Linked DNA regions of Anolis sagrei. The protein of the gene in region 3 interacts with the protein of the main gene of each other region in a pairwise test. Links are inferred from orthologs where the notes say so. Each region holds a gene or a part of one and is shown on either strand. Other genes may lie near its edges. The genes, in order: LENG1, SH2D4A, FSD2 and PPP1R18.

Region 1 (7,125 bases), on a different chromosome or scaffold from region 3:
GCCAAAGGGCAGTCCCTGATGAAATGCTAGGTGGTCTCCCTAGGCTCGCTTCCAGCATCACAGGCTTGTTTCTGACACAGAAGTCTGGGACAAACTTGTTATTTTTCTGCCAGCCATGGTCAGTTGTCCTTCAAATACAGTAGAATCTCGCTTATCCAACCTTCGCTTATCCAACATTCTGTATTATCCAACGCTGTCTGCCTCCTGCTCGGATCCACAGGTGAGGGAAGTGGAGTGTATATTTACCTGTGCAATATTTATTTATTTCCTATATTTATACCCGGCCCTTCTAACCCCTGAGGGGGGGACTCAGGGCAACCTCACAAACACCATACGGTGTCATCATAATAAAACAACAACACATTAAAATATTAAAACAATAATTAAAACAATTGATTAACACACACCTATTAAAATCAGAGTCTAAAATCCAGTCTGGGTGTTAAAATCTTCTTTTACTTTTTGCTCTCTAATTGAATGCTTGGTCCCAAAGTCAGGTCTTGATTTTTCTTCTAAAAGACAGGAGGGAGGTGGCCATTCTGATGTCCTATGATGAGCCCTATGAGGAGCGGTTTAAAGAGCTGGGCATGTTTAGCCTGAAGAAGAGAAGGCTGAGAGGAGATATGATAGCCATGTATAAATATGTGAGAGGAAGTCACAGGGAGGAGGGAGCAAACTTGTTCTCTGCTTCCTTGGAGACTAGGACGCAGAACAATGGCTTCAAACTACAAGAAAGGAGATTCCATCTGAACATTAGGAAGAACTTCCTGACTGTGAGATCTGTTTAAAATTTTAATCATTACATTTGGCCTGGCCTTAGTTTTAAATGTGTCATGGTGTTATTGTCTAATATTTATTGCTATTGTTTTAATGTTTACTGCTTGCTTTATGAGTTTATTTATTGTTGTATTTGTTATGCTGTTGTTTTATTGATGTGTTGGGCCTCGGCCTCCTATAAGCCGCACCGACTCCTTCGGGAGATGTTAGTGGGGTATAAATAAAGGTTCATTTTATTATTATTATTATTATTATTATTATTATCATTATTATTATTATTATTATTATTCAGCTGTGGAATTCTCTACCCCAGAGTGTGGTGGAGGCTCCTTCTTTGGAAGCTTTTAAACAGAGGCTGGATGGCCATCTGTCAGGGGTGCTTTGAATGCAATATTCCTGCTTCTTGGCAGGGGGTTGGACTGGATGGCCCATGAGACCTCTTCCAACTCTATGATTCTATGATGTTACTGGGGAGAGCGTTCCATAGACGGGGGGGGGGGGGGGGGCACTGATGAGAAGGTCCTGTCCCTTGTTCCCACCGATCGCGTTTGCAGTGTCGGTAGGGTCGAGAGCAGGGCCTCTCCAGATGATCTTAAGGTTCGTGATGGTTTGTACCAGGAGATATGTTCGGACAGTAATGTCCAGGGTGGGAGAAAGAAAGCGCCCTTGTCTGTTTTGGTGCTAAATTCATAAATACAGTAATTATTACATAACGTTGCTGTGTTTTGAACAGCTATTTCTGTCCATTTGTTGTAAAACATCATGTTTTGGTGCTTAATTTGTAAAATCCTAATAGGCTTTTCCTTGTTGTTGTTGATTCGTTCAGTCGTCTCCGACTCTTCGTGACCTCATGGACCAGCCCACGCCAGAGCTGCCTGTCGGCCGTCACCACCCCCAGCTCCTTCAAGGTCAGTCCAGTCACTTCAAGGATGCCATCCATCCATCTTGCCCTTGGTCGGCCCCTCTTCCTTTTACCTTCCACTTTCCCCAGCATAATTGTCTTCTCTAGGCTTTGCTGTCTCCTCATGATGTGGCCAAAGTACTTCAACTTCGTCTCTAGTATCCTTCCCTCCAATGAGCAGTTGGGCTTTATTTCCTGGAGGATGGACTGGTTGGATCTTCTCGCAGTCCAAGGCACTCTCAGCACTTTCCTCCAACACCACAGCTCAAAAGCATCTATCTTCCTTCGCTCAGCCTTCCCTAAGGTCCAGCTCTCACATCCATAGGTTACTACAGGGAATACCATGGCTTTGACTAGGCCGATCTTTGTTGCCAGTGTGATGTCTCTACTCTTCACTATTTTATCGAGATTGGTCATTGCTCTCCTCCCAAGAAGTAAGCGTCTTCTGATTTCCTGGCCACAGTTTGCATCTGCAGTCATCTTTGCACCTAGAAATACAAAGTCTGTCACGGCCTCCACATTTTCTCCCTCTATTTTCCAGTTGTCAACCATTCTTGTTGCCATAATCTTGGTTTTTTTGATGTTTAGCAGGCTTTTCCTTAATCTCTCCTTATCCAACATTATACCAGCCCATTAATGTTGGATAAGTGAGACTCTACTGTAGTATATTAGATGGTAAAACCTCCATCGAAATGTCCCACAGACTGAAATGGGAGTCTCCTTCTCTGTGGAGGTTTTTAAGCAGAGACTGGATGGCCATCTGTTGGAGATGCTTTGATTGTGTGCAAAGCATCACATTCCTAACAGCCTCAGGCCCTTTCCTTTTCCCCCTCAGCTGAGGGGGAAAAGGAAGGGGCCTGAGGCTGTTAGGAATAGCGGGAGTTGGAGTCCAAAACACCTGGAGGAAGGCCCAACTTTGCTCATGCCTCTCCCTTCATTCATTCTCTTCCAAACCCCGCCCATTCGAACTAGCTCGGGGACGCATGCGCAATAAAATGCTATTTTTTAATGTCATGAGTTATAGGAAAACAGCGCATGCGCGGCGCTGCCCCGAGCACAACCGTTGTCCCTTTTGCGCATGCGCCGTAGAAGCAACTTACCTCCTGTTCCGCGAGCAGGACTCGGGCCTCTTTCTTCCTCCGCTGCTCCTCGGCCTCCGCTTCGTCCCGCCTCACGCGGGCCACGTTGTCCTTGTTCCGTACGTGCCATGACTTTTTCGGGAGGATATTCATCCTCGCTGTTTTCCCTACGCCGTCCTTCGGAACGCTGAGGCTCCCTCTCGCTGCTGCCTCACACTTCCGGGATCTGTATCTCTTTTCTGATTGGTGGGATCCTTCTCAGGGGCGTGGCCTACTTTGTGTGTATCTCTGGCGCCCCTTCTGGACGGCCTGAGTATTGTTTTCCAAATTTCTTTTTTTTAATTTTTTTCCAGGGAACTTTCCACACAGCCCTATATCCCAGAATATCAATCCCACATTGAGTGTGGATTTAGATAACCCAGTTCAAAGCAGATATTGTGGGATTTTCTGCTTTGATATTCTGGGATATAGGGCTGTGTGGAAGGGCCCCAGATCTCACAATGTATGTCTCTTTCACACAGCTATATAACCCAGAATATCAAGGCAGATAATCCACAATATGAGGAGCCCCCAGTGACACAATGGGTTAAACCCTTTTGCCGGCAGGACTGCTGACCAAAAGGTCGACCATTCAAATCCGGGGAGTGTGGTGAGCTCCTGTCTGTCAGCTCCAGCTTCCAATGCAGGGACATTATTTATTTATTTATTTATTATTTTGCTTCCGATATTTCTACCCCGTCTCTTGGCCTGCATCAATAGGAGCATAGTGTCTAGATCTAGGGAAGTAATGCTACCCCTCTATTCTGCTTTGGTTAGACCACACCTGGAATATTGTGTCCAACTCTGGGCACCACAATTCAAGAGAGATATTGACAAGCTTGAATGTGTCCAGAGGAGAGCGACTAAAATGATAAAAGGTCTGGAGAACAAGCCCTATGAGGAGCGGTTTAAGGAGCTGGGCATGTTTAGCCTGAAGAAGAGAAGGCTGAGAGGGGATATGATAGCCATGTATAAATATGTGAGAAGAAGCCACAGGGAGGAGGGAGCAAGCTTGTTTTCTGCTTCCCTGGAGACTAGGACGCGGAACAATGGCTTCAAACTACAAGAGAAGAGATTCCATCTGAACATGAGGAAGAACTTCCTGACTGTGAGAGCTGTTCAGCAGTGGAACTCTCTGCCCCAGAGTGTGGTGGAGGCTCCTTCTTTGGAAGCTTTTAAACAGAGGCTGGATGGCCATCTGTCAGGGGTTATTTGAATGCAATATTCCTGCTTCTTGGCAGAATGGGGTTGGACTGGATGGCCCAGGAGGTCTCTTCCAATTCTTTGATTCTATGATTCTATGATTCTCTATCCCTGAAGGGGGACTCAGCATGGCTTAAATTTGGCAGCGATTTGATGCCACTACAAACAAACAATTACAATAATACAACCATTAAATATATATAAAGCATTAATTAAAACAGTACATAAAGCATTGATTAAAACAATAAACAGTATCATCAGCTGTCATGCCATTCCAGTCAATTTCCAACCAAAGTGCTAATTAAGTCTGCTGTCCAAAAGCCTGGTCCCAAAACCGCGATTTCAGTTTCTTCCCCTGGGCAACGTCTTTGTAGAAGGCCAATTAGCTCACACCAAAAGCGACTTGCAGTTTCTCAAGTCGCTCCTGACACCCCCCAAAAAAATTCCACAATATCTGCATTGAATGGAATATCTGAGTCCACACTGTAAGATAATCCAGTTCAATGTGGGTTTTATACAACTGTGTGGAAGGAGCCATAATTACCTTAAAAATTTGAAATTTTCACATCTTATATCTCAGTGTTCAAATTCTGCATTGTGATTTAGAACATGAATGCTTCATTTTCTGTTTATTTATTTATTCATTCTAATAATGCATCATACATTTAGGGCCAAGATTTGGAAGAGCAATGTACAAAGTGGAATATTATAGTTTAAATTCTTGTATGGGAAGTGTATCCAGATTTGTCCTATTTTGGTATATGGGCTATACAATTAATCAAAGTTACAAACAAGATAAACCCTGTAAGTTTGTGCTTAAGTTGAATTTAGTTGTAAGTTGGAAGAGATACATTTTTAAAATTTAACTCCAGCCTTGGATAGCATAGAGAAGAGTTGACGCCCTTGTGGGGTTTGTTTTGTTGTCTGTGCCCCTGTTCAGAATATTTCACCTCACTTTCTGTCACGGTAGTAATTGGATTTTGAAAAAATTGGCTTTTTATGGAAACAAGGATTGGTGATAAAACTTCATTGGAGTCCTCTTTTCCCCGTGATCACTCTTTCAGGAATAAACTTTCCTTTTATGGGGTAGATTATTCCCCCTTCCTGTTGTTTCACCCCCATTCTTAACTATGAGTCAGATGTTAGTAACTTGGGGACTGCCTGTACTCTGTCCATCAAAAAAATTAAAAGTTGGGTAGCTGTGAGTTTTCCGGGCTGTGTGGCCATGTTCCAAAAGCATTCTCTCCTGACATTTTGCCCACATCTATGATGGGCATCCTCAGAGGTTGTGAGGTTTGTGGTCCAAAACCCCTGGAGGGGCCAAGTTTGCCTCACAATCTCTGAGGATGCCTGCCATAGATGTGAGTGAAACATCAAGAGAGAATGCAGCCCAGAAAACTTACAGCAACCCCTAATGTTGTAATTGCCTTCTGTATACAAAATAAGCAGACAAGAGTACTTTCTCCCACCCTGGACCTTCCACAGATAGGTAAACTCCACTTGCCTAGTTTCCAACAGACCTCATAACCCCTGAGGACGCCTGCCATAGATGTGGGCAAAACATCAGGAGAGAATGCTTCTGGAACATGGCCATACAGCTCTGAAAACTCACAGCAACCCAGTAATTCCAGCCGTGAAAGCCTTCAACAATATCATTTTAAAATCAATTATGGTGGTAGAAATGCAGCCAGAAATCTGTTTTGGTAGACCTGCATAAGAGACAAGACCCCTTTTATACTGACCACTGAATGCAGTTTGAACAGCATTATATGGTCAGTGTAGACTCATATAATGAAGTTTGATTTGCATTATATAAGTCGACACTGACCTATATAATACAGTTTCAAACAGTACTATATGGTAGTGCAAATCTGTCAGGGTTACTTTGATTGTGCTTTTCCTGCATGGCTGGGTGTTGGACAAGATGGCCCATATGGTCTCTTCCAATACTGGGTTGCTGTGAGTTTTCTGGGCTTTATGGCCATGTTTCAGAAGCATTCTCTCCTGACGTTTCATCCACAGCTATGGCAGGCATCCTCAGAAGTTGTGAGGTTTGTTGGAAGCAAGGCAAGTGGGGTTTATATATCTGTGGAATGTCCAGGGTGGAAGAAAGAACTCTTGTCAGCTTGAGGCAAGTGTGAATGTTGCAATTGGCCACCTTGATTAACATCGAATGGCCTTGCAGCTTTAAAGACTGGCTGCTTCATGTTGGGGGGAATCCTTTGTTGGGAGGTGTTAGCCAGCCCTGATTGTTTCCTGTCTGGAATTCCCCTGTTTTCTTAGTGTTGTTCATTATTTACTGTCCTGATTTTAGAGTACAACCAGCATGTCGGACTGCACAGAGAAGCCATTGAAATCCACAAGCATGTGGACAATTTCAACAGAAAGGAGGAAATCATGAAAATCAACAAAATCTGGCTACCAATATTAAAACACTCTTTGAGTATTGAGGAAATGAACTGTACAATTAAACACCCATCTACCAGAAGAAATAAGTGCATGTTGTTCTATCATCTTCTGCTTCAGTGGCTCATCTCAGAGATCTGTTTCACCAGGAAGAGTTTGTCTTGGCCCTCCTAGATGAAAGAGAAGGAGAGAAATGTGAAAGTATCCTTATTCATGACAGCGTCCTCTTGGTCCTTTCCCAGTCTAGCATCTCAAGATGTGCTGCATTACAGCTTTGGGCAAATAGTCTGGGATAGTGGGAATTTTCGTGTGGCACATCTGCATTATTTGTAAGGCATCTGTTGATCCTGGCATTGCAATCCCATGCTAACTCTATGAAAATGTTCTTTTTGAGTACTTACCAGACGGAGTTGTCCCTTAAGGCCTTTAACCAAAGAGCTGTAGGAGTCAGCCAGTGCCTTGAGGTAGAACATGAGGACACTTGGAGGAAAGGATGCAAAAGAGAGGAGACAAATGTAAGATCAGGGCCCTTTGTTTCATCAGTTGCAAGGCTCAAAGCCATCTATCGTCCTTGGAAAATGACCACACCTTCCACCACAACCCTTCTGCAGCTTAACCATGGCTACTGTAGTCCAAAACAGTAACTTTTCCAAACTTTGTTCTCTAAATTAGGGTGCTGCCCTAATAAAGTGCCATCCTAATTTGGGGATCAGAGAAACG
Region 2 (6,970 bases), on a different chromosome or scaffold from region 3:
GAGGATGCTTGCCATAGATGCAGGCGAAACATCAGGAGAGAATGCCTCTAGACCATGGCCATATAGCCCGAAAAAACCTACAACAACCCACTTATGGTTATGTTGTTTTTACTTTGTATGTTTTGTGATGTTACCTGGGAACCACTCTGAGTCCCCTCAAGGAGATGAAGCGGTATATAAATAAAGTTTTATTATTATTATTATTATTATTATTATTATTGTATATTCCACTACTGGCAGGAAGTTCTTCCTAAAGTGTAGATGGAATCAAGGAGCTCCACTGGCTGCCATTCATCTACTGGACCCAATTCAAGGTGCAGGTTCTTACCTACAAAGCCCTGAACGGTTTAGGACCCGCCTACCTGCGTGACCGCATCTCTGTATACGAACCCACACGATCCCTTTGATCATCCGGAGAGGCCCTGCTCTCGATCCCACCAGCATCGCAGGCGCGATTGGTGAGGAGGAGAGAGAGGGCCTTTTCGGTGGTGGCCCCTCGACTCTGCAACTCACTCCCTAAAGACATCAGACAGGCTCCAACTCTGGCAGTCTTCAGGAGGAGCTTGAAGATGTGGCTGTTCCAGTGTGCCTTCCCGGAATAATGATCCCATAGCACTTTACATATCTTTAAGTCTGCTCGTATGCCCTTCCACAAACACCAGTATCACCTTTCGTTCATGTCCCAGCATTATTTCCAATTTTAACTCTACATTTGGCCTTCCCACTGTTTTTAATTATGTGTTGTTTTATTGATAATGTTGTGTATTTTATTGTCTATGTTTTTTTAATTGCTTGTATTGTTGTTATTATTGCTTGTATTGTTGTGTTTGGGCTCGGCCTCATGTAAGCCGCACCGAGTCCATTGGGGAGATGGTAGCAGGGTACAAATAAAGTGTTGTTGTTGTTGTTGTTATTATTATTATTATTATTATTATTATTATTATTATTATAATACTATATCTCTGTGTGTATGAATTATATTTTCAAAGTGATGGTACTCACCTTTAAGGCCCTACATCTAGGGCCGATGTACCTGAGGGACCGCCTCACCCCCTACCAACCCCAGAGATCCCTCCGTTCTGAGGACCAAGATTTATTGGAAATTCCGTGTCAAGACCTTGCGTCTAACAGCAACCAGACGCAGAGCCTTTACAGCAGTGGCACCATCACTCTGGAATACTCTGCCACCTGAAGTCCGAGCCTTGCGGGACATCAACTTTCCGCAGGGCATGGAAGACATATCTGTTTCGACGGGCTTTTGATCTCTGATATTGCTGTTTTTAAATAGTTTATTATTATTATTATTATTATTATTATTATTATTATTATTATATTATCTGAGGATGCTTGCCATAGATGCAGGCGAAACGTCAGGAGAAATGCCTCTAAAACAGTGGTTCTCAACCTGGGGGTCGGGACCCCTGTGGGGGTCGCGAGGGGGTGTCAGAGGGGTCACCAAAGACCATCAGGAAACATTTTCTCTTTGTCATGGGTGTTCTGCATGGGAAGTTTGGTCCAATTCTATCATTGGTGGGGTTCAGAATGCTATTTCATTGTGGGTGAACTATGAATCCCAGCAGCTACAACTCCCAAATGGCAAGGTCTATTTTATCCAAACTCTACCAGTGTTCACATTTGGGTATATTGTGCCAAGTTTGATCCAGATCCATCACTGTTTGAGTCCACAGTGTGATATGGATATAGGTGAACTACAACTCCAAAAACTCAAGGTCAGTGTCCACCAGACTCTCCCAGTATTTCTCTTGGCCATGGGAATTCTGTGTGCCAAATTTGATTCAATTCCATCATTGATGGAGTTGAGAAGGCTCTTTGATTTTAGGTGAACTATAAATCCCAGCAATTCCAACATTCCCAAATGACAAAATCAATCCCCTCCAACCCCACCAGTATTCAAATTGGGGCGTTTCGGGTATTTGTGCCAAATTTGGTCCAGTGAATGAAAATATATCCTGCATATCAGATATTTATATTACGATTCACAACAGTAGCAAAATTAAAGAAGTAGCAATGAAAATGACATTATGGTTGGGGGTCACCACAACGTGGGAACCTGTACTAAGGGGTCGCGGCATTAGGAAGGTTAAGAACCACTGCTCTAGAACATGGCCATATAGCCCGAAAAAACCCACAAGAACGGAGAGATTATTATTATGATCTTTTCCCCTGCAATTTGAATTTGAATCCGTTGATCCGCATCCTAATCCCCAAAACAAAAGAAAACGAGTATGCAACTTCCTCAATGTGACATCCTTCCAGATATTAAAACACGGCTATCATGTCCCCTCTCAGCCTTCTTTACTCCTTCTGAAGCCAGGCTAGATAATCCCATTTTCCTCCTGGGCTCACACACTGACCTGCCTTCCGCACTGGTTTCGGCACAGTGGCCACATCTTCTCTTTCCTTCCACTTTCGGATCTGCTCCTGCCTCATCTTGAAGAACAAGATCTGCTTTTGCTCTTCACTGAGCTCTGCCAGCAGCTCTGGGTCCACATACATGTCGGCCAGGATTTGCTTCAGCATGGTTGTAGAAGAAGCTTCTCACAGAGAGGAAGGAGTAGGAGCAAGAAGAAGAGAAGGCTGATCTGAGGAGAGAAGAGAAGGAAGAAGTCACTTTCTCTGCCGCCTTTCCAGCAGAAACACATCAGTGGCCAAAGGGGAGACAAAAATCTCTCCCCACCCTTAAGATACAGCAGGAATGCAGGCTCTCCACATCGCAATTACTCTCACGGCGACTGCAACCTACTTTTAGCTCTTGGATTTCCTGCAAGGACTGACAAAGTAAACAAAGAGCTCAAAGAACACAAAGAAAAGGAAGACTTGGCAACACTTACACCAAAACCGAGCCCTTGTGTCCTGGAATAAGCAGGGCGTTTGTTCAAGGTAATGAATATAAAGCAGCCGCAACGAGGACCAGAGAGGAGTGTTCAGATCTGATGCCTCGTGGAAGTCCCCTCTGCTTTTAAGCACTGGCTGCTAAAGTCACAGGTGTGGCTTACCTCTCTGACTCAGCAAGCCGTTCTGTTATGAGACCAGGAAGTGAAGGGATGGCTTGTAAAGAGGTGAACCCTAACCCTTTCCTGTCTCACAAATCTTAAGAAAGTAAAGTTCTGGCCGGTGCCAAACGCCCACAGAAAAAGTGATAGGGCCAATGTCAGTAAACACCAGTGTCAAGGAGTGAGATATAATTTATCTTCTGCGTGAACGGAAATACACACCAGAGTTCCCAGCATGAATAAGGGTGAAAATAGCAGAACTGGGTGGGAATGAGGTTCTGATCGGATCAATAGTGTGGTGTAAAGGCTGCTTTGATGCTTCCCCCTCTGCACACACACAACTGCTATTTACATTTTTAAACGGACAGGTTCATTGCATTGATGTTTATTTATTTCGATCTTCGGGGAGGCCCTCCTTTCGCCCCTGCCAATTTCACAAGCCCGTCTTGTGGGCACAAGGAAAAGAGCCTTCTCCTCTGTGGCCCCCCGACTCGGGAAGTCATTACCTGGAGAGATCAGGAAAGCCCCTACACTAGAAACGTTTAAAAAGAACCTTAAAACCTGGCTCTTCCGCTGCGCCTTTGGCGAGTAGGTGGACAACATGACACTATTGCTCCCCTCAACACTTCTGTCACTGCCTCATGGGAAGTTTAGTTTCATAGAATCATAAAATCAAAGAGTTGGAAGAGACCTCATGGGCTATCCAGTCCAACCCCCTGCCAAGAAGCAGGAATGTTGCATTCAAATCACCCCTGACAGATGGCCATCCAGCCTCTGTTTAAAAGCTTCCAAAGAAGGAGCCTCCACCACACTTCGTGACAGAGAGTTCCACTGCTGAACGGCTGTCAGTCAGGAAGTTCTTCCTCATGTTCAGATGGAATCTCCTCTCTTGTAGTTTGAAGCCATTGTTTCGCGTCCTAGTCTCCAGGGCAGCAGAAAACAAGCTTGCTCCCTCCTCCCTGTGGCTTACTCTCACATATTTATACATGGCTATCATATCTCCTCTCAGCCTTCTCTTCTTCAGGCTAAACATGCCCAGCTCCTTAAGCCGCTCTTCATAGGGCTTATTCTCCAGACCCTTGATCATTTTAGTCGCCCTCCTCTGGACACATTCCAGCTTGTCAATATCTCTCTTGAATTGTGGTGCCCAGAATTGGACACAATATTCCAGGTGTGGTCTAACCAAAGCGGAATAGAGGGGTAGCATTACTTCCCTAGATCTAGACCAGGGGTCCTCAAACTTTTTAAACAGAGGGCCAGGTCATGGGCCCTCAAACTGTTGGAGGGCCGGATTATAATTTGAAAAAAAAAAACATGAATTAATTCCTATGCACACTACACATATCTTATATGTATTGCAAAAAAACCCTTAACAAGACAATACAATAATTAAAATGAATAACAATTTTAACAAATGTAAACTTAATAGTATTTCAGTGGGAAGTGTGAGTCTGCTTTTGGCTGATGAAATAGGATTGTTGTTGTTGTTGTTGTTGTTGTTGTGTGCTTTCAAATCGTTTCAGAGTTAGGTTGACCCTGAGCGAGGGCCGGGTAAATGACCTTGGAGGGCTGTATCCGGCCCCCAGGCCTTAGTTTGAGGACCCCTGATCTAGACACTATGCTCCTATTGATGCAGGCCAAAACCCCATTGGCTTTTTTTGCCCCCACATCACATTGTTGGCTCATGTTTAACTTGTTGTCCACAAGGACTCCAAGATCTTTTTGACACGTACTGCTCTCGAGCCAGGCATCGTCCCCCATTCTGTATCTTTGCATTTCGTTTTTCCTGCCAAAATGGAGTATCTTGCATTTGTCACTGTTGAACTTCATTTTGTTAGTTTTGGCCCATCTCTCTAATCTGTCAAGATCGTTTTGAATCCTGCTCCTGTCCTCTGGAGTATTGGCAATCCCTCCCAATTTGGTGTCATCTGCAAACTTAATGAACCTGCCTTCTAGCCCTTCATCTAAGTCATTAATAAAGATGTTGAACAGGACCGGGCCCAGGACGGAACCCTGCGGCACTCCACTCGTCACTTCTTTCCAGGATGAAGAGGAAACATTGGTGAGCACCTTCTGGGTTTGTCCATTTAACCAATTACTGATCCACCTCACCGTAGTGAGGGAAAGAGCCTTCTCCTCTGTGGCCCCCTGACTCTGGAACTCATTACCTGGAGAGATCAGGAAAGCCCCTACACTAGAAACGTTTAAAAAGAACCTTAAAACCTGGCTCTTCCGCTGCGCCTTTGGTGAGTAGGTGCAACATGACCCTATTGCTCCCCTCAATGCTTCTGTCACTAGAGTACATGCCCCCTCCCCCAAATGGGAAGTTTAGTTTCACAACCCTGTGTTTCTTTTTGAGCTCCCTGCAAATAACTTGCTCCTATTTTTATCTCATTAGAGTTTTTTAACATTTTATCCTGTACATGTGACCTACCCACTGTTACTGCGATTATGTTTATTATAATGTTATTTTGTTACTGTACTCATATCTTTTTTTAATGCAATTTTGATGATGTTGCTTGTTGTTTATGTTTTGGTTTTATTTTGCTGTAATTTGTCATTCGGGCTTGGCCCCATGTAAACGGCTCTGAGTCCCCATTGGCGAGATGGTGGCGGGGTATAAATAAAGTTTATTACTTATTTATTTACTAACTATACTTGTATATCGCCTTTCTCAGCCTATCGGCGACTCAAAGCAGTTTACAACAAGTCAGTACACATAATAGCAAAATACCGATTAAGCATTGAACAATATGAAATCACAATAAAAACAATAAAACCAACACCATAGAATCATAGAATCAAAGAGTTGGAAGAGATCTCATGGGCCATCCAGTCCAACCCCTTGCCAGGAAGCAGGAATATTGCATTCAAATCATCCCTGACAGATGGCCATCCATCCTCTGTTTAAAAGCTTCCAAAGAAGGAGCCTCCACCACACTCCAGGGCAGAGAGTTCCACTGCTGAACGGCTCTCACAGTCAGAAAGTTCTTCCTCATGTTCAGATGGAATCTCCTTTCGTGTAGTTTGAAGCCGTTGTTTCGCGTCCTAGTCTCCAGGGAAGCAGAAAACAAGCTTGCTCGTCCCTGTGGCTTCTTCTCACATATTTATACATGGCTATCATATCTCCTCTCAGCCATCTCTTCTTCAGGCTAAACATGCCCAGCTCCTTAAGCCGCTCCTCATAGGGCTTGTTCTCCAGACCCTTGATCATTAGTGTCTCCTAGTTAAAAACGTTGTCCAAAATCCGTTGTCAAGTGATTCCATTTCCTATATCAGTTACCCTGCATTTGTAAACGCTTGCTCATATAACCATGTCTTAACTTGTCTCCGAAATGTTAAGAGTGAGGGAGCCAATCTAATCTCCTTAGGGAGGGTGTTCCATAGCCGAGGGGCCACCACAGAGAAGGCCCTGTCTCTCGTCCCCGCCAAACATACTTGTGATGAAGCCGGGATTGAGAGCAGGGCCTCCCCAGACGATCTCAAAGTCCTAGAATCTAAGGCCCAGATGGTTCATAAGGGGAGATGCATTCAGACAAGTAAGTCAGGCCAGAACCATTTAGGGCTTTATAGACTAAAGCCAGCACTTTGAATTGTGCCTAGTAGCAGACTGGCAGCCAGTGGAGCTGGTGCAGCATAGGAGTTGTATGCTCCCTGAGGGCCGCTCCTGTTAGCATTCTGGCTGCCATCCATTGGACTATTTGAAGCTTCTGGACAGTCTTCAAAGGCAACCCCACGTAGAGTGCATTACAGTAGTCTATACGAGATGTAACCAGAGCCAAGTTAGGCTTCCAAAGGTATGGGCACAGCTAGTGCACAAGATTTAGCTGGGCGAATGCTCCCCTGGTCACTGCCAAAACTTGGGGTTCCAGGCTCAGCGATGAATCCAGGATCACACCCAGACTGTGAACCTGCATCTTCAGAGGGAGTGTAACCCCATCCAACACAGGCTGTAA
Region 3 (7,004 bases):
GTATCTCAGATAGGAAAGCCAATATCACAGCATACGATACTGGAAGAAAAGACCAAACCGTGTCTGTTGTCAAAGGCTTTCATGGCCAGAATCACTGGGTTGCTGTGAGTTTTCCAGGCTGCCTGGCCATGTTCCAGAAGCATTCTCTCCTGACATTTCATCCACATCTATGGCAGGCATCCTCAGAGGTTGCGAGGTCTGTTGGAAACTAAGCAAGTGAGGTTTATATGTCTATGGAATGTCCAGGGTGGGAGAAAGAACTCTTGTCTGTGTGAGGTAGGTGTGAATGTTGGAACTGGCCATCTTGATTAGCATTTCATGGCCTCTCAGATTCAAAGCCTGGCTGCTTCCTGCCTGAGGATATCCTTTGTTAGGAGGTGTTAACTGGCCCTAATTGTTTCCTGTCTGGAATTCCCTTGTTTTCTGAGTTTTGCTTTTTTTTTTTACTATCTTGATTTTATAGATTTTTAAATACCTGTAGCCAGATTTTGTTCATTTTCATGGTTTCTTCCTTTCTTTTGAAATTGTCCACATACTTGTGGATTTCAATGGTTTCTCTGTGTAGTATGACATAGTGGTTGTGAGAGTGGTCCAGCATTTCTGTGTTCTCAAATAATATGCAGTGTCCAGGCTGGTTCATCAGGTGCTGTGCCATGGCTGACTTCTCTGGCTGAATAAAGAACAACACTCAGAAAACAGGAGAATTCCAGAGTGGAAACAATCAGGGCCAGATAACACCTCCCAACAAAAGATTCCCCCAGGCAGCAACCAGCCAGGCTTTGAAGCTGCAAGGTTATTCAATATGCATGGGCAATCCATGGTTCCAAATGGTCCTAAAGTACTTACAAAACTAGGGGGCACTGGTGCTTTGCTTCTAAAGTGTTGCTAAAGTTCTGGTGATGAAAATATCAGAACTCCAACAACACTTTCAAAATTTGGTTATAAATGGCAGTTCCTAATTGGTTCGGTCATAAAAATCGCCAATAATGAAATAATAATTAAATTTTGGAAGTTTTGTTAGAGTTCTGAAATTTTCACCACTAGAACTTTAGCAACACTTTAGAAGCACAGCACCAGCTTTAGAAACACTTTAAAAGCAAATCATCAGCGCTCTCGAGTTTTGTAAGTACTTTAGAACCATTTAGAACCATGGATTGCCCATGCCTACTATTAAATGCTAATCAAGATGGCCAATTGCAACATTCACACTTGCCTCAAACAGACAAGAGTCCTTTCTCCTATCCTGGACATTCCATAGATATAGAAACCCCACTTGCCTAGTTTCCTACAGACCTCACAACCTCTGAGGATGCTTGCCATATATGTGGGCTAAACGTCAGGAGAAAATGCTTCCAGAACATGGCCATACAGCCTGGAAAACTCACAGCATACAGTGTTTGTTTGTGAGATGGTTTTGAAGCCTGAGCACCCTTCCCTCTCAATTCCCAGCCCAAGCCAGGGTTTAAACATGTTAACTTGTGTGTCGAACCCCCAGTGGTGCCATGGGTTAAACCCTTGTATCAGCAGGAACTGCTAACCGACAGGTCAGCAGTTCGAATCCAGGGAGAGCGGGTTGGGCTCCCTCTGTCAGCTCCAGCTCCTCATGCAGGGACATGAGAGAAGCCTCCCACAAAGATGGTAAATAACATCAAACATCTTGCTGTCCCCTGGGCAACATCCTTGTAGATGGCCAATTCTATCACACCAGAAGTGACTTGCAGTTTCTCAAGTTGCTCCTGATACAAAAACAAAACAAAACAAAAAACCCTTGTGTCGTACTTGTGCAAAAAAAATGTGTCTAGTAAACTGATGATGATATATCCCCATCAATGAATATGGTACTGTACAAAAGTATCCCCCACCCACCCTCCCTACGGTTGCAGATTGAAAGAATATAAAACAGTGGGCCTTTCTGGAGAGTTCCTTTAGGTGCCTATCATTATACTTACTGTTCCAAACTCACCATTGCAAAGGAGAGAATATAATACACTGCATTTTGGGCTGATCTTATTGCTCAGCAAGAAGTAAAGAAAGCAAAAGACGAGCCTCAAGCAGCCAGAGGCGGCTCCAGGTAATTTTCAACGGTAAGCAAACAGTATTCCCCCCCCCCCCCAACTAATCACTGATATATATATTCTGTTCGTTGTGGGAGTTCTGTGTGCCATATTTGGTTCAGTTCCATCATTGGTGGAGTTCAGAATGCTCTTTGATTATAGGTGAACTATACATCCCAGTAACTACAACTCGCATATGTACGGTCTATTTTCCCCAAAGAGCACCTCAAGAGCGCCCCTGGACAAAATCAACTATACTGCAAATGCTTACTTCGCGTAATGGGTTGAGCTGCCCCTGCAAGCAGACAGGGGTAAACTTGGAGCTAGAAATAGAGCTGCAATCACACGTGAAGCAATGACCAAGGTTTGAAAATTGTAGCCCTAGGAACCTTCATTTTAGAAGTCCACAAGATGGCCTTCCAGTTAAACCAGCTTTTAAAAAAAAAAAAACTCAAAAGAACCATTAAATAGCATTGTGAACATAAAGCGACAACACCACATTTCAGAACATGCACATTCTATTTATTGACCATTTACGCAAGGAAGTGCTTTCATATTTACTTATTCCCTTCTTTCGAGCTGCAGTTCATTGAGAAAGAAATCACTGGGCATTTACACCTTAAGGAAGAATGTGTAAAAACAGTTGAAATTAAATTTTGTTTACCCAGCTTTCCAAACATTGATGCAAAGTAGTGGAGAGATACTGCATTCTAGAATAAATTAAAAGACTGATAATATTGCTGTTCAAAAACTTTCTATTTAAGTATCAATGATTGATCATTCTACTTCTATCCCAACAATAACAAAACCTCCTATTTTTCCTAACAAACCTGAATTTTTCATTCGGCAGCCATTCCCTGCTAGCTTTCGACTTCTGAAACCGAAGCCTCACTGCTGTAACTCTAGACGGCTGCTTATCCTAAGCGTAGCATGCATGCGATGAGCAAGAAGAACAAATATAGCCTGGCACCAGCTGTCCTTCAGCAGATGACTTCTTGTGTGTCAGGGAGGAGAATGTCAGACCCAAACAACTCTGGAGAAAAGTTGGGGTTAAAACAGTCATGGGCAAACTTCGGCCCTTCAGGTGTTTGTGACTTCAACTCCCATAATCACTAACAGTCAGTAGGCTGTTAAGAATTATGGGAGTTGAAGCCCAATAAACAGATAGGAAGATACCCTTTGTGTTGAGTGATTTAAATGTCCATAAGTCCTAACATCCCAGATGGCCTGGCTCTTTGCCTTCCGAAGTCTCGTCTGATTTTATTTATCATGTCATCAGCAACCATACCATTGTATTACATATCTAACAGAACAAAACAAACAAACAGATTAAAAAAACCACAAAAAAACCAAAATACAGATTTTGCCAACTTGGTAGTTGATTAAATGTCCTTTGACCAGTATCTGGCCACTTGGAGTGCCTCTGGTGTTGCCGCAAGAAGGTCCTCCATCGTGCATGTGGCGGGGCTCAGGTTGCATTGCAGCAGGTGGTTAGTGGTTTGCTCTTCTCCACACTCGCATGTCGTGGACTCCACTCCGGCGAGTGTCTCTGTAGATCTAAGAAAACTATATCTTGATTTAAGTCGTTGACGTGCTGGCTGATACCCAAACAAGGGATGAGCTGGAGATGTCTCTGCCTTGGTCCTTTCGCTATCGGCTGGTGCAATACCGGCTAGACAGTGTAATTTCTCCAGTGGTGTAGGGCGCAGAAACCCCGTGATAATGCAGCATGTCTCATTAAGAGCCACATCCACTGTTTTAGTGTGGTGAGATGTGTTCCACACTGGGCATGCATACTCAGCAGCAGAGTAGCATAGCGCAAGGGCAGATGTCTTCACTGTGTCTGGTTGTGATCCCCAGGTTGTGCCAGTCAACTTTCGTATGATGTTGTTTCTAGCGCTCACTTTTTGCTTGATAAGAACCATTTATTTATTGTCCATGCAGTGAGTCTTGGTTGAGTCCTTTGTTTACGGATTTACTGGCCCAGGAAATTGGGAAAGCTTCCTGGAGCCATGAGGTGCTGGTTTCATGAAAACGGTGGCTTTTTCCTACATTTTTCAAAATATAGACATACATACACATGAGGAATGAGCAATAGGTTGGGGAATATGAAAGGAATTCATAAGGGGAAATCATGTAGGGTCTAAGGCAGTGTTTCTCAACCGTCCTAATTCTGCGACTCCTTAATACAGTCCAACCATAACATTATTTTGCTACTTCATAACTGTAATTTTGCTCCTGTTATGAATGGTACTGCAATTATCTGATAAGCAGGATGTATTTTCACTGGATCAAATTTAGCACAAATATCCAACATGCCCAAATTAGAATAGTGGTGGAATTGGGAGGAGGGAGGATTGATTGATTTTGTTACTTGGGAGTTGGAGTTGGTGGGATTTATAGCTCACCTACAATCTGAACTCCACCAATGACGGAATTGAACCAAACTTGGCACACAGAACTCCCATGACTAACAGAAAACACTGGAAGGGTTTGGTGGGCATTGACCAATGGTGGATCTGGACCAAACTTGGCACAAACACTCAATATGCCCAAATGTGAACACTGGTGGATTTTGGGGGAAATAGACCTTGACATTTGGGAGTTGTAGTTGCTGGGATTAATAATTAACCTACAATCAAAGAGTATTCTGAATCCCACCAACAATCGAATTGGGCCAAACTTCCTATACAGAACCCCCATGACCAACATAAAATACTGTGTTTCCTGATGGTCTTTGGTGACCCCTCTCACAGCCCCTGGTGACCCCCTCAGGGGTCCTGACCCCCAGGTTGAGAACCACTGGTCTAAGGGCAAATCATGTCAGCTGTCTTTCCCCCCCCCCCCCCAAAGTCCATCAACATTCATAAAAGTTTGAGAAGGTTATTAAAAGTCCATAGGGGTTTGGCAAAGAGTTCATGGGAGTTCCAAAGAGTCCTCAAAAGTTGATAAAAGTACTCAAAGTTCCCAAAAATTGGTGAAAGTTGGCAAAAGTTCATAAAAGTCCTTCGAAAGTTCATGGGAGTTGGAGAAAAGTTTATGAAAGTTCATGGGAAATTGGTGACAGTCCTGGGAGCACTAGAGGTTGGAATGCACTCATTGGAAAGGAAGAAAAAATTACAGATCCAATTCATAGAAGGGCAGAGCGGCCTGCCAGAGATCTGGGGGTCCCAAGGGGTGACCTCAAGGGACTCTCCTGGGGTCAACAGGCTTCTGGACGCACATAAAATGGAAGCAGAACATTGTTGCAGTGTGGAGCCATGGATTGGAGCCAGCTGGACCCAACATGAGGTTTTTGGGACAAAATTGGTTTTCCTGGGGTACAGAGGTCTGTTATGCTAAAAGTAAGATAGCAGTGGGTTGTTGTAGGGTTTTTTGGGCTATATGGCATGTTCTAAAGGCATTTTCTCCTGACGTTTCACCTGCATCTATGGCAAGCATCCTCAGAGGTAGTGAGGTCTGTTGGAACTAGGAAAAAGGGTTTATATATCTGTGGAATGACAAGGGTGGGACAAAGGACTCTTGTCTGCTGGAGCCAGGTGTAAATGTTTCAACTGATCATCAGTAAGATAGCAGTTAGTCTTAGAATTAGTCTAGCAAAAAGATGGCACTGGTTTAGAGCCGATCCGTTGACCCGCAGATATGGGGGCCCAATGGGTTTCCGTATCTGCGGTTCAGAGGAACACAGTTTTGGCCTCCCTGGGACGCTGTAAGAGCATCCCAGGCGAGTCAGCAGGGATATGCGGCTCAGGAAAGGAAAGTTTTATGCTAGGCTTGGGCGGTTTCATTCATTAATTTCGTAATTTGTTATTAATTTGTATTTAAATTAGCTTACGATCCAATATTGAGCCATGCAGGAATAGTGTGAGGAGTAAATTAGATTCGAAACAATTTTTTCAATTTATTTCGTAATTATTTCGTAATTATTTCAAAATTATTTCGTAATTATTTTCGCATGTCTGGTGCAAGTTTTATAGTTGTTGTTTGTTTTATCACACCAACTGTCAACAACAGAGGGAGAGGGAAGCTTCAGAAGTTCCCTCTGTCCCATTTGGAGGGTTTTTTTAGCGTATTGCGCAATCGCGTCCACCATTAACGAATCGATTCGGAATTTTACGAAATTTCGTAAATTTTGAAATTTTTAAAAGCAAAATTTCGGAATTCTTTAAAAAAACGAAACGCGATGGACCCCTAAAAACGAAGTGAGTTTAGAAACAAATTTTTTCTGTTGTTACCCAAGCCTAGTTTATGCTTGTTAATGTTTGAGATAGTAAAAGGACACGATGTATCACTATGAAGAGGAAAAGTGAGTAAAAAGGATACTTCTTTATTAGGGGTTGTTACATTGAAACAGGGGAGTTCAGTTCAGTGAGGAAAAGGGAAGACATAGGTCCTTGCTGTTGGAGCTGCTGCAGGAGCCACAGTCCTTGAAGGGGCCCGAGGCTGTTAGGAATTGTGGGAGTCCAAAACACCTGGAGGGCCCAAGTTTGCTCATGCCTTTTATTTATTTATTTATTTCACAGTTTTCTATACCGAGCTTCTCAACCTCATTGAGGGACTCAGCCCGGTTTCCAGCCATAAAAAACATATACACTCATTAAAATATCATATATCACAATTACAAAAACAACTTTAAAAACACTATATATAAAACTACAGTGGTCAGTCGTCCTATTAAGATGGATCTACATCAGCTTCCATCCAGGGTCCTTTGGTGTTGTCTCATTCATCGAAGGCCTCACTCCACAGCCATGTCTTCACCCGTTTCCTAAATGTTAGGATGGATGGGGCAGTTCTGGCCTCCAGAGGGAGAGAGTTCCAGAGTCGCGGGGCCACCACCGAGAAGGCCCTGTCCCTCATCCCCACCAGCCGCACTTGTGAGGCCGGTGGGACCGAGAGCAGGGCCTCTCCAGATGATCTTAGTAATCTTGATGGTTCGTAGGGGAGAAT
Region 4 (7,955 bases), on a different chromosome or scaffold from region 3:
ATTTGTTAAAATTGTTCTTCATTTTAATTATTGCATTGTTTTAAGTGGTTTTTGCACTACAAATAAGACATGTGCAGTGTGCTTAGGAATTCATTCATGTTTTTTTTCAAATTATAATACGGCCTTCCAACAGTTTGAGGGACTGTGACCTGGCCCTCTGTTTAAAAAGTTTGAGGAACCCCTGAAGTAAACATTATACACTCTCCTTATATATGCACACAGAGGTGGCCCTAGGTAATTTTCAATGGTAAGCAAACAGTATTTTGGCACCCCCCCCCCCCCCCCAATCAATCATTGATATATATTTTCTGTTCGTTGTGGGAGATCTGTGTGCCATATTTAGTTCAATTCCATCATTGGTGGAGTTCAGAATGCTCTTTGTAAGTGAACTATACATCCCAGTAACTACAACTTGCATATGTCAAGGTCTATTTTCCCCCAAGAGCGCCTCAAGAGCGCCCCTGGGCAAAATCAACTATACTGCAAATGCTTACTTTGTGTAATGTGTTGAGCCGCCCATGTATGTACAGTATGACAATATAGGAGCATATTATGTGCCTGTGTATACGTATATATAAATACATGTATAGGAGAGATACGACACATGCAGAGGCGGCCCTAGGTAATTTTCAACGGTAAGCAAACAGTATTTTGGCACACACACCCCCAACCAATCATTGATATATATTTTCTGTTTGTCGCGGGAGTTCTGTGTGCCATATTTGGTTCAATTCCATCATTGGTGGAGTTCAGAATGCTCTTTGATTGTAGGTGAACTATACATCCCAGTAACTACACTTGCTGCACTTGCCCCCTTGCCTGGCCCACTTTGGGTCCGGAGGCGTGCCTGAAGAGCCTGGCATGTGCACCAAAAGTCACCTCTTCTCCTGACTTTCTCCTCAGCCATTGGGACCAAGAGAGAGAGAGAGACAGAGACAGAGGTGGAGATGCCACCTTTCCTGAAGGTAGGCTCAAAAACAAAGGAGGGAGCGGAGGTGGAAGATACCTCCATCCAAAGGAGCTCGAGCTCTCTCTCTCTCTCTCTCTCTCTCTCTCTTAGTCCCAATGGCTGAAGAGAAAGTCAGGAGAAGAGGCGACTTTTGATGCGCACGCTGGGGTCTTCAGACAAGCCTCCGGACCTGAAAAGGCCAGGTGCGGCGGCTCCGCCCCTTGGCCCACCCGCAGATTGGGGAGAGGAGAGGAGGCAGGTGGAGCGCCAGGGGATCGGGAAAGGGAGCCGGTCATGGGGAAGGGATTGAACGCGGAGAACGATTGAGCGCCGGCTCTGCTTGCACACCCGGTGGCCAGGTGGAGCAGGAATGAGAGGGGCAAGGTGAGGCTTAAGGGCCCGGCCCCTTTGGGAAGAGGATTGCCCGGCAGCGAGGCAAGAAAGCCGAGGCTCCCCCTGGACTGCTAGGGCTGTTGTGAGCTGAGGGGGTGCTACTCAAATGGCGGTCGAGGGGCATTTACAGAGACGCCTCTGTGCCCCTGGCAAAAAAAAAGTGTTCTGCGACCGCTTACTTCACGTAATGGACGAGCCGCCCCTGGACACATGCACACATACATCTATGGGTGTGACACGTACTCAAGAGACACACACATACACACACATAGTATATAAATATATGCATAGGAGAGACATATAATTAAATAAACATTATACACTCTCCTCCTATATGTATGGCAATATAGGAGCATATATTATGTGCCTGTGCATGGGTATATATAAATACATGTATAGGAGAGGTATAACACATGCACAGACACATCTATGGGTGTGACAAGTACACAGGAGGAACACACACACATATACACACACAGTATATATGTATCGGAGAGACACACAGGCACAGTAGTGTTGTAATATCAATGGGTGTGACAAGTATAGATGAGGAACTCTCTCTCTCTATATGTATATATATTCACATACATGCACATACACAGAGAGAGGGAGAAACACACACATACATGCACAGTAGTGTTGTGATTTCAATGGGTGTGACAAGTATACATGTGGAACTCTCTCTCTCTCTCTATATATATATATATACACACATACATGCACATACACAGAGAGAGGGAGAAACACACACATACATGCACAGTAGTGTTGTGATTTCAATGGGTGTGACAAGTATACATGAGGAACTCTCTCTTTATATATATATATATATGTACACACATACATGCACATACACAGAGAGAGGGAGAAACACACACATACATGCACAGTAGTGTTGTGATTTCAATGGGTGTGACAAGTATACATGAGGAACTCTCTCTTTATATATATATATGTACACACATACATGCACATACACAGAGAGAGGGAGAAACACACACGTACATGCACAGTAGTGTTGTAATTTCAATGGGTGTGACAAGTATCCATGAGGAACTCTCTCTCTCTCCATATATATACACAGAGAGAGGGAGAAACACACACATACATGCACAGTAGTGTTGTATTTCAATGGGTGTGACAAGTATACACGTGGAACTCTCTCTCTCTCCATATATATACACACATACATGCACATACACAGAGAGAGGGAGAAACACACACATACATGCACAGTAGTGTTGTGATTTCAATGGGTGTGACAAGTATACATGAGGAACTCTCTCTTTATATATATATATGTACACACATACATGCACATACACAGAGAGAGGGAGAAACACACACGTACATGCACAGTAGTGTTGTAATTTCAATGGGTGTGACAAGTATCCATGAGGAACTCTCTCTCTCTCCATATATATACACACATACATGCACATACACAGAGAGAGGGAGAAACACACACATACATGCACAGTAGTGTTGTGATTTCAATGGGTGTGACAAGTATACATGAGGAACTCTCTCTTTATATATATATATGTACACACATACATGCACATACACAGAGAGAGGGAGAAACACACACGTACATGCACAGTAGTGTTGTAATTTCAATGGGTGTGACAAGTATCCATGAGGAACTCTCTCTCTCTCCATATATATACACACATACATGCACATACACAGAGAGAGGGAGAAACACACACATACATGCACAGTAGTGTTGTATTATCAATGGGTGTGACAAGTATACATGAGGAACTCTATATATATTCACATACATGCACATACACAGAGAGAGGGAGAAACACACACATACAGGCACAGTAGTGTTGTGATTTCAAAGGGTGTGACAAGTATACATGTGGAACTCTGTCTCTCTCTCTCTATATATATATACACATACACAGAGAGAGAGAGAGAAATGCACATAGCATGTTCCTCATATACTGCATGAGGCTTGTGTGTGTGTGTGTATCTTTTTGCAGAGCCTGGGGAATGCCAGGAATGCGCCTGTTCCTGGGAGGGATGGACAGGCTCCATTCGGTCCTATGGAAGGCTGTTCCGACGGCAGCCCGCCCTCCCCCCGGAATCTCGGCGGAAGGAACGCGCAGAAATCTCGGCTCCGCGCGCCCTCCCTCCCTCTCTCCCCCTCCCCTCTCCTGCCGATCCGCCCACTCGGCCACCCCCCTCCGCGCCGCTGCCTGCTGCCCGCCAAGCCCCGCCCCCTTTTCATTGTCCTCCCCTCTCCTGTTTATACACAAAGACCCCCGCCTGCCCCGGTCTCCTCCTCCTCCCCCTCCCCTTCCTCCGCTCTTTCTTTCTTTCTCTTCTTTCTCCTTCTTCCCAATCTTTCCTCTCTTCTCTCTCTTCCCCCTTTTTCTCCCTCTCTTTCTTTTGCCTCCCTTTCCTCCCTTTTTCCCCTCCCAGTTTTTCCATCCTGGGTTAAAATAGGATTTGAGCCATGGGGCTGGGAGGTGGAGCTCGGCAGAGGATTTAAAAAAGCGGGTGTGCAAAGGGATTGAGAGAGAGAGAGAGAGAGAATCATTATTTTTCGCCTTCTCTCTCTCTCTATGTTCCTCGTTCTCTCTGAAAGGAGGAGAAAAAACTTCTTGGGAAGCAGCAAAAGGAAGGAGGTGGAGAGAGGAAAGAAAGAGAAGAGAAATCGGAAAGGAGGAGGAGGAGAGGAAGAGGAAGAAAGGAGGAGGAGGAAAGCAAGAGAAGAAGACAGAAAGAGGAGGAAAATAGGAGGAAGGAAGGAAGAGAGGAAGAAGAAAGGGAGGAGGAGAGGAGGAGGAAGGAAGGAGGAGAGGAATAAGGAAGAAAGAGAAGGAGGAGAGCAGAAGAGGAAGACAGAAAGAGGAGGAGAATAAGAGGAAGGAAGGAGGAGAGGAATAAGAAAGAGGAGGAGGAGAATAAGAGAAGGAGAAGAGGAAGACAGAAAGAAGAGGAGAAGAGGAGGGAAGAAAGAGAAGAAAAAGGGGAAAAAGAAGGAGAATAGGAGGGAAGAAGAAGAAGAAAAAGAGGGGGAGGAAGAAAAGAGGAGAATAGGAGGAAGAAAGGAGAAGAATAAGAAAGAGGGAAAGAAAGGAGGAGGAGGGAGGAAGAAGGAGAAGAATAAGAAAGAGGGGAGGTAGAAAGGAGAAGAATAAGAAAGAGGAAGAAAGGAGAAGGAGAATAGGAGGAAGGAAAGAAGAGAAGAATAAGAAAGAGGAGGGAGGGAGGAAGAAGGAGAAGAATAAGAAAGGGGGGGAAAAGGAAGGAGAAGGAGAGTAAGATAAGGAGAAGAGGAAGACAGAAAGAGGAGGAGAAAGGAAGAGGGAGACGAATAAGAAAAAGGAGGAGGAAGAAAGGAAAGGAGGGGAATAAGAGCAGGAGAAGAGGAAGACAGGACGAGGAGAAGAAGAGGAGGGAGGAAGGAAGAGAAGGATAAGAAAGAGGAGGAGGAGGAAAGGAAGAAAAGAGGAAGGAGGAGGGGGCGGAAAGGGACTGACTAACCAAACCCTTCCTCTGGCAAGGCAGCCCTGACTCAGATCCTCCACCCGAATCTCCTCCCTTCTTTCTCTTGCTTTGAGGGACAGAGAGTGGCAGTCAAGAAAAGGAACTTCTCATCCAGCTGGGATCATCTGCACTTCTTCCTCAGAGATGGACCCAGCGGAGGACCCAGCCCACCTTCTGCCCCACATCTCTTGGACCACCTTGGTTTGATAGTGAGTAGGGAATCCTTGTTTTGTTTTGTTTTGTTTTGTTGGCCCCGAGAGATTATATGGGGATTTCCAAGCGGGCTAAGAACCTTAACAAAATCTCCTTCCAAGATCTCCCAAGGGTTCTCATTCTTCGGAGTTGGCCTACTTATGTGTGTGGACAACCCATGCTGATACCGGTTCAGTTCCTCTGATTGTGAGGCGCCAAGACGGAAAGGGATCAGGAGACACAAGGAGGGGAAGAAAGAGCAGGAGAGTCTTGGATAGAGATCCTCTGCCCTCTCTTTCTATGGCTTATCCTTAGTCCTATATTGTTTTCATCCATTGATCAAAGGGATCTTTGATCTTTTATCCCTTCTCAAGATGCTGGGATTCGGTCGTTACTGGAATATATCTTCCTTGTTTTTATTTTTCCCAAAATGAATTAGAAAATCATAGAATCCGAGAGTTGGAAGAGACCTCGTGGGCCAACCAGTCCAACCCCCTGCCAAGAAGCAGGAAAATCGCATTCAAATCGCTCTCATCACCTGAATTCTTGGAATTCTCTGGATATAAGGGGTTCTTGTTGTGTGAAAATCCGCTCATCTGGCTGCTTCCATCCCTCGGATGCCTGGATCCGATCTCTGCTGGGATTTGAGCTGATCTTCCCCGCTGCCTTTGTTTCCTCCTCAGGAATCCTCGCTTTTGACCCAGTTAAGAACTTCAAAAGGCAGCGCTGGGTACCAAAGTCAATTTAGCATCCTCACCTGTCACTGTTGGTTTTTGCAGGCGTTTGAACTCCTGGGATTGCTTGAAATTTGGAAACATCGAGATCCTATTACAGTAGGTTTGTATTTTTTTCTCCCCTTATGTATGTCCTTCTTATGGTTCCCATGCTCTTCCTCCCTCCTTGCAAGATTTGTTTACCTTTTCAGTCTTAAAGTGCAGCAGCCTGACATGATAATGTTATTTCAATGTGTTGTCGAAGGCTTTCAGGGCTGGAATCACTGGGTTGCTGTGAGTTTTCCAGGCTGTATGGCCATGTTCCAGAAGCATTCTCTCCTGACGTTTTGCCCACATCCTCAGAGGATGCCTGCCATAGATGCAGGGGTGGCTCAACCCATTACGCAAAGTAAGCATTTGCAGTATAGTTGATTTTGCCCAGGGGCGCTCTTGAGGCGCTCTTGGGGGAAAATAGACCTTGACATATGCGAGTTGTAGTTACTGGGATGTATAGTTCACCTACAATCAAAGAGCATTCTGAACTCTACCAATGATGGAATTGAACCAAATATGGCACACACAACTCCCATGACGAACAGTAAATATATATCAGTGATTGGTGGGGGCGGAGGGGGCAAAATACTGTTTGCTTACTGTTGAAAATTATCTAGGGCCGCCTTTGCATAGATGTGTATGAAACCTCAGGAGAGAATGCTTCTGGAACATGGCCATACAGCCCAGAAAACTCACAGAAACCCAATGTTATTTAAGGTATTTAATAATACTGGACACTATGTTAAATATCATTTTATTTATTTATTTACTAGCCGCCCTCTGACATGCATTGCTGTGGCCTTGTCTGTGTATATGTGTTTTTGTGTGTATATATTTGTGTACATATGTGTGTGTTTGCGTATATGTATGTGGTTTTGCGCATGCGTTGTAATGTATTTTTTTTATTTTTTGGCTTTTTAAGTCCCTTCCAATATGTTTCCCAGTGTTTTTATGAGTGATGGTCACTCACAGATAGGTGCATTGTGTCCAAATTTGGTGTCAATTCACCCAGTGGTTCTTGAGTTATGTTAATCCCACAAACGAACATTACATTTTTATTTATATAAACTAGCCATGCCCTGCCACGCGTTGCTGTGGCCCAGTCTGTGTATATGTCTTTGTGTGTATGTATGTGCATATATATTTGTGTATATGTGTATATATGTGTTTTTGCACTTGCATTGTAATGTATTTTTTTCTTCTGCTGTGTTTTTCAGGGTTTTTATGAGTGATGTTCACTTGTTGGTCAGATAGGTGCATTGTGTCCAAATTTGGTGTCAGTTCATCAAGTGGATTTTGAGTTATATTAATCCCACAAACAAGCATTACATGTTTATTTATATAGATTATTTATTATTATTTTAAAATAGTAGTGTCATGTTTATATTTTTCATAAATACATATTAATCACCACTACTCAGTGGCTGGGCGCATAAGGTTCTATGTAACCTCTTAAAGCCAAATCCACTTGCCATTCTAAATTCAGATTAAAGGAACTTCTCTTCCCTGGAAGATATAGATATGACATGTATATGGGAAGGATGGAATTAAAGCATTGCCCCCCCCCCCCCCCCCAGGATGCTGCCTTGAAATATTCCTTTTGTCCCCAAATTTATAGTATCGCTAAAACTGGAAATTTCAGGTGAATATTTAGAAATACAATGTAGGCATCCAAAGACAAGGGGCTGGCAAGGTGACCAATGGAATGCAAATTCAAGAGTTCTAGGCATGACAAATTGTCAATACTATGCAATGCAAGAAATTTATTGACAGACAGGAAATATTATGGGAAACATAATTTTAGTGTATTTTTATTTATTTATTTATTTATACACAAATACACACACAACACATATACACAGACTAGGCCACAGCAATGCATGGTAGGGGACGGCTAGTATATAGTAAAACAATCATTAAAAACGTATAAAACCTTGAAACCACTTATTTAAAATCACGCAATCCAATATCATAGTCTGTGGCTGTTCCAATTTGTCATTGCAGTATTCCATAATTTTCTTATTACACTGAATGCCTGGTCTGATATCCATGTCTTTAGCCTTTAGGGAACAATACACTTTAATTCCCCCCCCCTTTTTTTTTTGGTCGTGTTCTGAGTGACTTGAGAAACTGCAAGTCGTTTCTGG

What was found.
Region 1: the proteins of FSD2 (region 3) and LENG1 interact in binary tests that used the Homo sapiens proteins (3 or more experiments, as listed by UniProt). The two-hybrid records come from large-scale screens. The link is inferred for Anolis sagrei from reciprocal best matches to the Homo sapiens genes FSD2 and LENG1.
Region 2: the proteins of FSD2 (region 3) and SH2D4A interact in binary tests that used the Homo sapiens proteins (3 or more experiments, as listed by UniProt). The two-hybrid records come from large-scale screens. The link is inferred for Anolis sagrei from reciprocal best matches to the Homo sapiens genes FSD2 and SH2D4A.
Region 4: the proteins of FSD2 (region 3) and PPP1R18 interact in binary tests that used the Homo sapiens proteins (3 or more experiments, as listed by UniProt). The two-hybrid records come from large-scale screens. The link is inferred for Anolis sagrei from reciprocal best matches to the Homo sapiens genes FSD2 and PPP1R18.

The regions. Positions count from the first base shown.
Region 1 is NC_090026.1:19,022,564-19,029,688, forward strand, and holds the start of LENG1 (leukocyte receptor cluster member 1), read right to left. Parts: upstream 3,012-7,125; 5' UTR 2,911-3,011; coding exon 2,779-2,910; intron 1-2,778. Other genes in the region: voltage-gated chloride channel TMC4, read right to left, coding at 6,522-6,575, 6,807-6,885.
Region 2 is NC_090026.1:55,294,690-55,301,659, reverse strand, and holds the start of SH2D4A (SH2 domain-containing protein 4A), read right to left. Parts: upstream 3,021-6,970; 5' UTR 2,853-3,020; intron 2,772-2,852; exon of another isoform or gene 2,699-2,771; intron 2,604-2,698; 5' UTR 2,542-2,603; coding exon 2,376-2,541; intron 1-2,375. UniProt on the Homo sapiens protein: Inhibits estrogen-induced cell proliferation by competing with PLCG for binding to ESR1, blocking the effect of estrogen on PLCG and repressing estrogen-induced proliferation. May play a role in T-cell development and function.
Region 3 is NC_090029.1:32,404,469-32,411,472, forward strand, and holds the start of FSD2 (fibronectin type III and SPRY domain-containing protein 2), read right to left. Parts: upstream 3,001-7,004; 5' UTR 2,885-3,000; intron 1-2,884.
Region 4 is NC_090022.1:23,666,498-23,674,452, forward strand, and holds the start of PPP1R18 (phostensin), read left to right. Parts: upstream 1-4,946; 5' UTR 4,947-5,058; intron 5,059-5,820; 5' UTR 5,821-5,874; exon of another isoform or gene 5,875-5,878; intron 5,879-7,955.